3 linked regions of the Coturnix japonica genome follow. The protein of the gene in region 2 binds, or shares a complex with, the protein of the main gene of each other region. Links are inferred from orthologs where the notes say so. Each region holds a gene or a part of one and is shown on either strand. Other genes may lie near its edges.

The links.
Region 1: SNRNP200 (region 2) and PLRG1 share a complex: the UniProt entries of both Homo sapiens proteins name them as parts of the minor spliceosome. The link is inferred for Coturnix japonica from reciprocal best matches to the Homo sapiens genes SNRNP200 and PLRG1.
Region 3: SNRNP200 (region 2) and LSM3 share a complex: the UniProt entries of both Homo sapiens proteins name them as parts of the U4/U6-U5 tri-snRNP complex. The link is inferred for Coturnix japonica from reciprocal best matches to the Homo sapiens genes SNRNP200 and LSM3.

The regions. Positions count from the first base shown.
Region 1 is NC_029519.1:18,056,502-18,060,650, reverse strand, and holds the start of PLRG1 (pleiotropic regulator 1), read left to right. Parts: upstream 1-1,281; 5' UTR 1,282-1,310; coding exon 1,311-1,394; intron 1,395-2,558; coding exon 2,559-2,665; intron 2,666-3,208; coding exon 3,209-3,351; intron 3,352-3,575; coding exon 3,576-3,629; intron 3,630-3,736; coding exon 3,737-3,830; intron 3,831-4,149. UniProt on the Homo sapiens protein: Involved in pre-mRNA splicing as component of the spliceosome. Component of the PRP19-CDC5L complex that forms an integral part of the spliceosome and is required for activating pre-mRNA splicing.
Region 2 is NC_029537.1:1,041,094-1,043,977, forward strand, and holds the end of SNRNP200 (U5 small nuclear ribonucleoprotein 200 kDa helicase), read right to left. Parts: coding exon 2,720-2,884; intron 2,627-2,719; coding exon 2,462-2,626; intron 2,203-2,461; coding exon 2,081-2,202; intron 1,999-2,080; coding exon 1,855-1,998; intron 1,775-1,854; coding exon 1,598-1,774; intron 1,489-1,597; coding exon 1,328-1,488; intron 1,239-1,327; coding exon 1,157-1,238; intron 1,069-1,156; coding exon 976-1,068; intron 893-975; coding exon 749-892; 3' UTR 582-748; downstream 1-581. UniProt on the Homo sapiens protein: Catalyzes the ATP-dependent unwinding of U4/U6 RNA duplices, an essential step in the assembly of a catalytically active spliceosome. Plays a role in pre-mRNA splicing as a core component of precatalytic, catalytic and postcatalytic spliceosomal complexes.
Region 3 is NC_029527.1:8,367,134-8,371,470, forward strand, and holds LSM3 (U6 snRNA-associated Sm-like protein LSm3), read left to right. Parts: upstream 1-1,520; 5' UTR 1,521-1,597; coding exon 1,598-1,618; intron 1,619-1,907; coding exon 1,908-2,018; intron 2,019-2,974; coding exon 2,975-3,070; intron 3,071-3,380; coding exon 3,381-3,461; 3' UTR 3,462-3,769; downstream 3,770-4,337. Other genes in the region: XPC (DNA repair protein complementing XP-C cells), read right to left, coding at 1-130, 1,008-1,206, 1,406-1,520. UniProt on the Homo sapiens protein: Plays a role in pre-mRNA splicing as component of the U4/U6-U5 tri-snRNP complex that is involved in spliceosome assembly, and as component of the precatalytic spliceosome (spliceosome B complex).

The DNA of each region.
Region 1 (4,149 bases), on a different chromosome or scaffold from region 2:
GATTTGGGTTGAAGAAGCATCTGTCCTAGAAGGAGCCGTGTCTGTACCACAAGGCTTTTTCCTGAAGAGGCTTTTCAGCAAAGCTCCACCTGCATGGGGACATGACTTACACTGGCGAGAAATGCTTCTAGCATGAGTCAGAATCTGGAACTGCAGGGGGAGCAAGGTATATTGGAAAACATACATGAATATAACAAATATTTGGGGAGCAGGACCTAATCTCCATTAGTTGGCTTGCTGGGTGTGAGATGGGACTTTTCTTTGATGCTTGCAACTGTTACAGCTAGGCTGACACTGTATAACGACTGGATAAAGCCTTATGAACAACCAAGAACATGGCTTAATCTTCTTCTTAAAACGGTGTCAAGGAGGCTTTGTCTCCAAACAGAACATCTTTCTTCGTTGTGTTTTCTTCACTTCCTCCCCAGCTCACATGGTTAATGAGAAACTCTTCCTGAACTCACGTAGTGTTGATAATGCAACAAATCTGCTATGAAGAACTGCGAAAAGAAAGCATTGACCTGATGGTATTCCGGTATCTCTTTGTAGCATTCCGAAATGGTATTCCAGAACATCTCTTTGTACACTGCTTTTGTCCTGGAGAGCTACTTACTGGCAGAGGTGTATGTGTGTGTTTTTAGGAATGAATTTTCATGTGCCGCCTCTTGTGTTTGCTTTGCCAAATCATCTGCCCATGGTGCAACACTCTTTACACAAACCCCATCCTTGTATGTTGGCTCCTTTAGGCTGAACACATCACAGAGGTAATTTGGGCCAAGGGGGAATAGAGCCATCTTGGGCCACTGATAAGCTGTGCCAGTAAATGTGATTTTGAAAGGAATCCAGTTGTTGGCAGCTGATTTAGAAACGTCCTTGGAAGCCGCTGGCGTTGTACATGTCACACTGTGACAGGGTTACTGTAGAATTAGATGTTCAATTAGATGTAAACGTTTGGGGGGGGGGGGGTCTTTAAAAAAAGAGTGTAATTACAGGCCTCTGTAAAATCTAAGGATGCTGTAATAAGTAGCACATGTAAGTGAAGTTTTCTTACAAAACACAGATCTTTCTTTTCTCGGATTGCTACAAAGGTCTCTATTTCAAGGAGGTTTTCCTTTCAAGATGCACTAAAAACGAGCCCGATTCACTCAGCAGACGACAGCACGCAAAGTGCCGAGACTGTAAGTTCAAAACAAAACAAACCAACATATTATTATTAAAACAAACCAAGAACAAAACGCCAGTGCAACACCGCACCCTGGCGTTGCAAGCTCCTCAATGCAGCCCGGCGCACCCGATTTGCGTCACTTCCTATGAGGTATAGAGCAGGAGCCGGACGTGTCTCCATCGCTGTCGGTGGGGAGCGGGGAGCGGGGAGCGACGGCGCCATGGTGGAGGTGAGGGCGGTTCAGTTCTTGTGTTACTGAGTGTTGTTGGTAGGAGCACAGAAGATGCTGTGCAGTTCTCCTACGTAACAGTTCTTTTACTGGGTGTCATCACTGTCCAGAGATATCTATAGTTGTTCACCTCCTGTTGTGGAGGTATTGAGTTACCTATTGCTTTTATTGCGACAAGCAGACATTTGCTACTGTAATTCCTGTTTCTTTTTGCAGTTGCATGGAATTTCTAGTTCCCAAGCCCTATTATAGATGTTCTTTATTTGATATCTAGATTTTACAGGACCGTCCTGAGCTAAAAGTTTTGTGTGGGCCCTACTGAGTTAGGGGAGTATGAAGTGTGGCAGAATGGGGCAATGAGTGGGTAAGCAGAGTCCAGGGCAGGAAAGCAGAGCTTAGTGGAGGAAGCCCCAGCTTAATGGAGTGTGGAGGCTGGGCAGCTGAATGGTAACTAGAGCCCGAAGTTCTTAATGCTTCCACTCTGTGTTGCTCCTATTTGTGACATACAGAGCGAGCACAAAGAGGCTCATACTCTGATTATCACATCTCTAATTATTTATTTATTGTGCCTTGAGAGGAAGGTAGGAATTAAAACCTGAATTGCGCGGTCCTAAACAAATATTCTATATAAGCTAATAGCTTTAAGTTCTACTATTTTGGCCCTGACTGAGATATTAACAATTATTAGCTTTTAGTAATGTGTAATTTCAAAAGGACAAGAGGCTTTGTCTTATTTGATCCCAGGATTACTTCTTATAGTAAACATCACTGTTCTTACATAGGGTGACACTGTGCAGAAACTGATGTTCATTTTTATGGAGGTAGTGCAATAAAGGAATGTTTTCAGAATCAGGTACTTTATTGTTTAGGTATAAAAGCATCTAGAAAACATGGAAGATAAACGTATTCATGTATTTTTAGATGATAGTGCAAATTTTTTCTGGCTTGTCATTTCTGAGAAACTGGGTTTTACTTTGAGCAGGCATTGAATTAAAACAACTAATAGATATACTTGAATCTGTAGTTTCTAAGAGGAGCAGTGTTTGATGGGAATAGTGTTGTATCATATGCAAGTCTGAAATTGCTACTCAGTTTCTTTTTCAGATTTCAGTTTTTCATTTAAACGTGGCTAAATTTATTTAAATATGCTTTCCTTTATTTTAGGAAGTCCAGAAGCACTCTGTGCACACACTTGTGTTCAGATCTTTGAAGAGAACCCATGATATGTTTGTAGCTGATAATGCCAAACCTGTACCATTAGATGATGAAAGGTGAGTGCTGTGGCTGAGTTTTACTTTGTTAGCAATTGTTCTATAGAATCATAGAATCACCAAGGTTGGAAAAGACCTAAAAGATCATCTAGTCCAACCGTTCACATTACTATTAGCTCCCGCTAAGCCAACACAACATCCAGTCGTTCCTTGAACACCCGCAGGGTCGGTGTCTCCACCACCTCCCTGGGCAGCCCATTCCAGTGCCTGACCACCCTTTCTGAGAAGTAGTAGTTCCTAATGTCCAGCCTGAATATCCCCTGCCACAGTTTGAAACCATTCATCTAGTCCTATCACTAATGACAAGAAAGAAGAGGCCAACCCCCAGCTCACTACAACCTCCCTTCAGGAAGTTATAGAGAACAATCCTATCCAAATCAGGAGTTTGGGTGTTCAGTACAATTAGCAGTTAAGGGAACTGAAAAGCATGAAGATTGTAATGTTAGCTGTATGAAAGGTTTCCTGTTTTTTAAAATATTTCAAAACTTAGTAGCAGTTCAAAAATCAGGATTTAATCAGGATTATGCTCTGTTCTTCCAACAGCCACAAAGTAAAGATGGCAGTCAAGCTGCGTACTGAGTACGGCTCAGTATTGCACATGCCTACTCTTAAAGAAAACATGAGAGAGAAAGGAGGCCCAGCCACTGGGGATCCATATGGACATAAACAGTATTCCGGAAATGAAGGTTTGTTATTCCTAGTACCATGTTTGTTCTTTGTTTTCACAAGGAAACAGTAGGAGACTTAATTCATTAGTAAAACAAGCAAGTTTTAAGGTAATGCTAGTGTGTGCTATATTTGGGTATTAGAGAGCTAATAAGGGTTGAGGATGTTGTCAAATTGAGGATGCTTTGCACCACCTACTCTGTTGTACTGTTTTGTTTGAATGCGTTATTTTGTTGGTCTTTAGGAGAAGAACTGGAGTATGTGATAACTGGCACACATCCATATCCACCTGGGCCTGGTAAGTAAAATTCTGTGTTTAAATCAGGTATTTCAGAGTTAAACTGAGATTTTTTTTTTAATTATTTTTTTAATTTTTTAATTTAATTTTGTTTTTTTTTTTTTAAGGTGTGGCTCTGACAGCAGACACTAAGATCCAGAGGATGCCGAGTGAATCTGCAGCTCAGTCCTTAGCAGTATCTCTTCCTGCTTCTCAGTCCAGGTACTGCTTTATTACTTCATTAACATTTGCATAATCTACAAGAACTACAAGTCAAAACAAAGTACTTTGAATATTCAGCTTTATAAAATACCTGAAAACCTGATCTAATGGTTTGCAACCTTGCCCATGGCAGGGGGGTTGGAACTAGATGACCTTTAAGATCCCCTCCAACTTAAGCCATTCTGTGATATGATTTTAAGTTGGTCAGATATCATCTTGGTGTATGCAGTGTTCTTTCTTGGCTGTCATTAGAGGCAGTGGACAGAAGGGGGAGAATGGGGATCACAGAATAACAGAATTGTAGGGGTTGGAAGGGACC
Region 2 (2,884 bases):
CCTCCTAAAGCCCAGTGCTGTTACGGGATGGGGGTGACCAAGCTGTGTCCTGCCCCCCTGCACCATTTGGACTCCAGGTGAATTGTGGCTGTCCCAAAGCTCTGCTGGGAGCTGGGGGGGCTTAGAGAGAAGGGATCGCTGCCTCCTGCTGCTGGCTGCTCAATAAATCCCTGCTGTCAACTCAAAGCCTCCGGGCTCTTCTTATGGGTGAGGGTGGAGGTGCTGCCTTTGGGGCTGGAGGGTGATGGGGGGAGGGAACAGGTTTTGTGAGGGCTGTACCCCCCCATAAAGCACAGCCCCGGGGCTGCATTGCTGTGTCTGTGCTGCTCCCAGCTTGTTCTCCTGCTGCCAAACCCCAGCATGGCCCAGCTCCCTGCTGACAGCTCACTTTGCCTTAATTAGTTTTGCTAATTAACTCGCAGCAGCCAACATAAGGGCATAGAAGCACTATGCAACATGGGGGAGGTGTTGAAATTCAGCCTCACAGTTAAAGGCAGAAAAGCAGAGCGCTTTATTAGGGGGGAAACGACCCCAAATGCTTCTCAGCTTTCAGCCCCAAACAAATAAATGGGGGGAAGGGGGGGGAGGAAGGCTCAGCATTTATTGCAGCTGCTTCAGACGCAGCTCTGTTCTATCAAACACTGTACAACACCATAAAAAACAGGCAATAAGATACAGAGGGAGATAAGGAGCATCAGGGTTTGGTCGGGGGTCCTCACCAGAGCGGGGCAGTGCAGCCCCACAGCTGCTAATCGGATTCACTGTCGCTCTCGGCCTCCTTCACATCCACACTGAATTTATACTCCTGGTCGCAGCCCATGTAGGCGTCGCTCATGAAATACAGCGTGTAGTTGTGGGTCCCTGTGGCCGGAGCCACGAAATCCAGCTTCACCTGGAGAGGGGAATAAATGGGGTCAGGGCTGTGGGGTCGGGATGGGGGGCGAACACAGGGCAGCCCCACACAGCCCCGCTCACCTTGGCCTTCTGCTGCAGCGTCAGCCTCTTGATGGAGATGAGGCTGTTGGACTTGGAGTCTCCGATCACCACCCACCAACCCTCCTCACGTTTCTGCAGGGCAAAGAGCAGACAAACAACATTGGGGATGTTGCCCATAGGGATGGCTGCCCCCAAACCCCCCCCATGTCCTGGCACACACCTGTGGGAACAGGGGGGCGATGACGGGGCCGGTCACCTCCTCCTCCCTCTCCAGCTGCACCAGCACCACCACGGGCCCACCACTGCATGGACAGAAGGGATGTCAGGGTGCCAATGCAGCGCTGCATGGCTGCAGCACGCTGCCATCCCATGTACCCCCTCAATCCCTCACCTGCGGATGCTTTCCTTCTCCACCACCTCATACGACAGCTCGATGTTGGGGTAGCGGTTGCAGAAGCGGGCGACGTCGGCGATCTGAGCATCCGAGAGCTGCAGCAGCGCGTTCCGATCCTCGTCCTCCATCTCCATGATGTCGAACACGCTCTCCACCCCCTGCAGCAGCAGCACAGCACTCAGCCCTATGCTTACCATGGGGTCTCCATGCCTATATCACCACCTCTAGTTGTCCAGCACGGAGCCGTGGTTCTGGTTTGGGTTTTACCTTGTCGGTGCAGCGCTTGATGTGCTCAGAGGTGAAGTGAGGCAGCTGTTTGAGGTAGGAATCCTTGGACCACATGGCTTGTGTCACCATCTGCGCCAGCTCCATAGCGGCCAGAGCTGGGCTCAGCCACCCATTGCTGGACAGGACGTCCACACAGGCCTGGATCAGCCGGATCGCCTGCATACAAGAGATGGGGGTGGCTTAGAAAGCAGCACTGGGGGATGCAGCATCATCTCCCCCTGCCCGCCCTGCTGCACCTTGCTGAGGATCTCCTCCGTGTCCGACTGCAGCTCGGCGCTCAGCTGCATGCGCGATAGATGAGCCTGGAGCAGGAGGTTGGTCTTGACGTGGGGGTCGTTGAATTTGGGGTTGGTCAGTTTGTGGGGGACCTTCTGGGCCAGCTGTGGGGGGGGGACATGAATGAGGGGTTAGATCTGAAGCCTCGCAGGGCAGGACACAAAGGCAGGTTTTGTTCTGCATCACCTGGCGCAGCAGGTTGTCCTCGTGGTGCCGGATGGGGATGTTCTCATACTCGGCAGCGTTGGAGATGATTTCTATCAGCCCTCGCACTTTGGTTTTGGCGTTGAGGGACATGCTGAAGAGCTCTGGGGGGGACAGGGAGGTCAATGGGGTGAGGAAGAAGAGAGCAGCATTTGGCTGGGTGATGTAAGAGAGGCCTTCAGGCACACAACATGCAGCCTGGTGCTGAATGGGGGAGCTGCAGGCACACGGTGCTTTCCCCCCTTCACCCCCTGCATCCAGACACAGCACAGCAAGCACTGCAAGCACAGCAAGCACTGCACTGCCTCCAGACACAGCACAGAGCAGCATCAAGCACTGCACTGCCTCCCCTGCCCCCCTCACCGATGGTGGTGTAGTTGATGTAGTAATAAGCCGCGATCATCCCCAGGTTCAGGGGAGCCACGTCCATCTCGTCCTCGATGCTGATGCACTTGGATTGCTCCAGGTCGCTCAGGGTTTGCTCCACCAGCTCCGAGAGGTGATCGGAGAGATGCCTATGGGACACACCTGTGGGACCAGCAGTGTGCTCAGAATCCCCCATGCTGGACAATAGCTGCTTTCCTGCTGTCCCCCCCCAACCATGCAGCCCCCCCTGCTCACCCTGCAGGTTGTAGTAGTTGGGATTCTGCGTCATCCTGCGGTACAGGAAGGTCCAGGTGAGGTAATCCACAGCGTCCTGCTTGTTTTCAATGGTCTTGGTGACTATCTCGGCGTTGAAGTGGTCGTGCATGCAATGATCCAGGTGGGATTCCACCGGCAGCGGCT
Region 3 (4,337 bases), on a different chromosome or scaffold from region 2:
CACGTCCTCCCATTCATCTTCACTTTCATCATCGTCATCATCATCATCAGTATTGTCTTCATCCATCTCTTTTTTAATAGGAGATTCTCTCTTCAACTTTACCTCCTTCTGAGGGGCCTTCACTGAGTCACTATTAAAATTACAAGAATGGTTTTAGCATCAGGAAGTGCATGGGTTTGTTCATTTAAAAATGGAAGGGAATGAAAACAAAAATGAGGAAATAAACAAAGCATCATCTCTGCATCAGTAACAACAGATGTAAAGGTTGTAAGTATTTGACAACTGAACCGTGTGTGTGCCTGTAAAGCGAGCAGTCTTTGCCATGAATAATTACAGGCTCGTTGAACAACAACGTTTCAGTGCAGACACAGGTCCTGGTTCTAACAGGTTGTTTGAATGAAGATGACTGAACCTAAAAACAATGACCCATCTTTCCTAACAGCTTGTATGAATGTCTTCATTGAATCATTTGTCTTTACTGAGACCTCATAATGCACTGGGATTGGAAGTGCTTGTGTTTCACTACGCTAACACCCAATGATTTGGTTGGCCAGTGAAATGAGACCAAGCAGCTTCATTCTTCTCATTAATACAATCCCCCTTGAAATCTCTACAGGAAGACCATATATCTCACAGCAATGTTTCTGTTCATGCTCGATGCCATAAAACCTCCCTAGTCTTGTGTAGAAATAAATGAAACGCTATCTTACAATTACGATATTGATTTGAAAAGGCTCAGATATTTGCTTCCCATGCAGACTGCCTTCCTCAGACAGATCCTGCCATCAGCCAGGCAGTACTTCTGTACAGCTGTGTGTCACAGACAAACTAAACTGGCCTGCCAGCTTAACGTAACCCCTTTATGTGAACATTGTAGGGCAATGGACCCTACACAACAACCACAACATCCAACCCACAACAACCACAACATCCAACCCACAACAACCACAACATCCAACCCACAGTGAGGTACAGAGCGCATCATGATGAACAACAGCTAAGCTTACCTGCACTTTTCCTCTTCGTGATCATCCCCTTTATTTTCAGGGTCTCTCTCATTTTCTTTCACTCGCCCTTTTACCCCTTTTTGTTTTGAAGGCTTCTCTGCTAACTTAGCAATTCCAGCATCACTGTCTTCCTCCTTCTTCCTAGCTGCAACTCCGGCTCTGCTCTTCTTTACACTGTGTTTTTCTTCAACAAAATCACCTACATCGAAAAGAAAGAAATTTTCTTCATGGATATAACCTCATCCCTATGGATACATAGCAATATCTCTGCAGGCTCCAGCAGAGCTGCACTGAACAACTCCAGCCCCGGCCCATCATGGGGGGCTGCTGAGCTCCATGCTGACTGCCTCCCTCCCTCAAAGCAGAGCAGCCCCAGAAGCCGAGCCTCCCACACTCACCCTCCTCACGTTCCTCCGCACCATCCCGCCGTACTCCCACCCCTCCAGGCCGCCTTTTGCCGGCAGACACCCGCTGAACCGACGCTTTGCGCTTCCTCGCCATAGCGGCGAGCATTACCCCGCCCCTTCAGAGCGGGGGGAAGAGGCCGGGCCATAAAGTATCACGAGAGAGAGCGAGAAGCGGTTTGAAAGATGGCGGACGAGGTGGATCAGGTGAATGGCTCTTTACTTTTCTTAGGGGGGAGCGGTGTTTCTGCGGCCACCCCGGCTGCCAAGTGAGGTGGTGAGGGCCTGAAGAGAGAGCTGGTGGGTTGGTGGCACATCCGTGTGCCTTCCCTTTGCCATATGCCGTGCTGCCGTGTTGGTTTGAGCCATGCAGCCTGTCTGCTTCTGTGTGGATACTGGGACTTGAGGGAGCGTTTCAGAATGCAAACTGAGGAGTGGAGGAGTTCGTATTCACTGCTCCTGCGTGAATAACTGCTTGTTTCGGTGTTGTTTTCAGCAACAGACAACGAATACCGTCGAGGAGCCCCTCGACCTCATCAGGCTCAGTCTGGATGAGAGGATCTATGTGAAGATGAGGAATGACAGAGAGCTCAGAGGCAGGCTGCATGTGAGTGCCAATTCCAAGCAGGCAGCAGGCTGTGCTGTTATGTGCAACTATTTGTTATGTTACTGTAATGTGCTCAACAGCAGCGCTTGGTTTGTGCAGTGTTCTGCCAGAGATTCAAAAGGTGCATTTTGTTTTTCCGTGTCTGTTGTCTTTTAAATGATTCCAAGTGATTCGTTCTCTTGATTTTTGCTTTTATTCCCATGTCTGTGGACTAAGTAATAATGCAGGCATCATCTCATAAAGGACTCTCGACTCTGTTAAGATGGAAATAAGTATATCAAGCAACTGTCTTGTAGAGCAAACCCAAGGACTGCTGGGATGTGTACTCAGCTGGGTTCTCTCCATACTTGATTTGTTCTTTGTTTTCTTTTGAGAGCGATGTCTCTTAGTGAGACAAACTTTTGTTTTCTGTTTGGTTGTGTTATCCTTCTGGAATGTGGTGCTGTGCTGAGGAAGGGAACCAGTTTCCCATGTGGTAACTGGGCCTCAAATACATTTGAGAACAAAAAGGTGAGGACAGATCTGTGATGCACTGGTATAATTCCTAAGTTCCCTTTGTAGGGTGTTTGGAACAAGTGCTTAATTAAAATTTATGTATTGTTGTTTGAGTTACAGCTCTCATAGCTATAGATAATCCAATCCCAGAAATCTGGGCTGATAGCAAATAATATTTAGTTGGATTAATGCTAACGACAAGAACAAGTGTGTCCACCTCTGAGAGTTTGTGCATGAGCTTCAGAAGGAGAGTTTCAGTGAGTATAAGAGCCTTCCTTATGCTGTGGAGTACTGATGTTGGCCTTTATAGTTGAAGTTACAGCTGATACATCATGTTCACACATGGAACATCTTGACCCAAATCAGGTTAAAATAATTTTGTTTGAGTGTCTTGCTAGAATTATGGATTTAATGAGCTTGTGCTTGAATTTTGGAAGAAGTAATGAACTTTGTTCCTACAGGCATATGATCAGCACTTAAATATGATTCTGGGCGATGTGGAAGAAACTGTAACAACAATAGAGATTGACGAAGAAACATACGAAGAGATTTATAAAGTAAGGACTTCAGTGTATTTACCTCCATAGAAAACTTCTTGCAATCTAGATTGTCATGTTGTCAAAATAATGTGTTGATAACTGCACCTTTTGGACTAGGATCTAGCAGGTGTTTTAGGCAAATTGTTATGAAAGCACAAAGGACATCCAGGTGCTTGTTGATTTTGATATCTTCAGCAGGACGCGAAGTTGCATGTTTGAGCTGATGTTTGTTGGTGTTTTTTTAGGATTGAATTTTGTCACATGCTTAGTAGATGTGTTCTGTATACTTCTCTTTTGTAAATGTAATCTTTTCTTTGCTTCTTCATAGTCTACCAAAAGGAATATTCCGATGCTCTTTGTCAGAGGTGACGGCGTTGTGCTTGTAGCTCCCCCGCTGAGGGTTGGCTGAAGCAACCAAGGATTGAACCTTCTTGGAAGGTTTCAGGCTCTTGGACGATTTGTTTTGATCATGTCTCAGAATTGCATACACTTTTTAATAGAACGTTTTTGCCTATTTTTTGTGGAAGAGGAATGAGTTTTTCTTGCAGAAAGTACCTGTCAGCTGAAGCAGTGTGAAAACCTCATTTTCCCCTGAATTAATGTAACTGCTGTAAATGAGCTGTGTGTGACATAAGTAAAAGCACCCTGTTTTTTCAATCTTGGGAATAGCAGTGTCTTTTTTTGTTTGTTTTAAATAAATTTGGTTTACCTTTCAGATTTGATGTGTTATGTTTTTGTTGAAAAGGTGATTTTAATGAACTTCTCTAGTGCTAATGCTGTATTAAGTTGTGATAATGTGGCTTTGCTTCCTGAGAAAGCAGTGACTTGTTTGGTGTTTTGATTTTTGTCCATACTGAAGTTTTCCAGATTGATGTTTTGGAGGAGGGCAACACTGTGTTGGTCTATGGTGTACTAATCTATGGTTTTATGTAAACATATCCTTGTAGGAGAGAAATTCTGTGTCCTGCTTAAAATGCATTGATAGAATAGAATTTTTACAGCTTTTTCAGATGCTTCTCTTGCAGCTTTGTTAGCAGAGCAAAGCTTAGCAATACCATCAGTAGGAAACAAATTTAGTAGCCTGATTTATGCATTCATTTGCCACCATTTGTAGCCATTTTCAGTTCTTGAACACATTAAATTCTGTAGAAAACCAAAGATGCTTCCTGGTTATCAGTGGGTGCACAAGAGCCTTGTACACTGCTTTTTTTAATACATAGTTTCTCAGGCCTTCCTGATTGCACTTTATTCTCATGGTGGGGCTGGAAGGGGAATGAATGTTTTA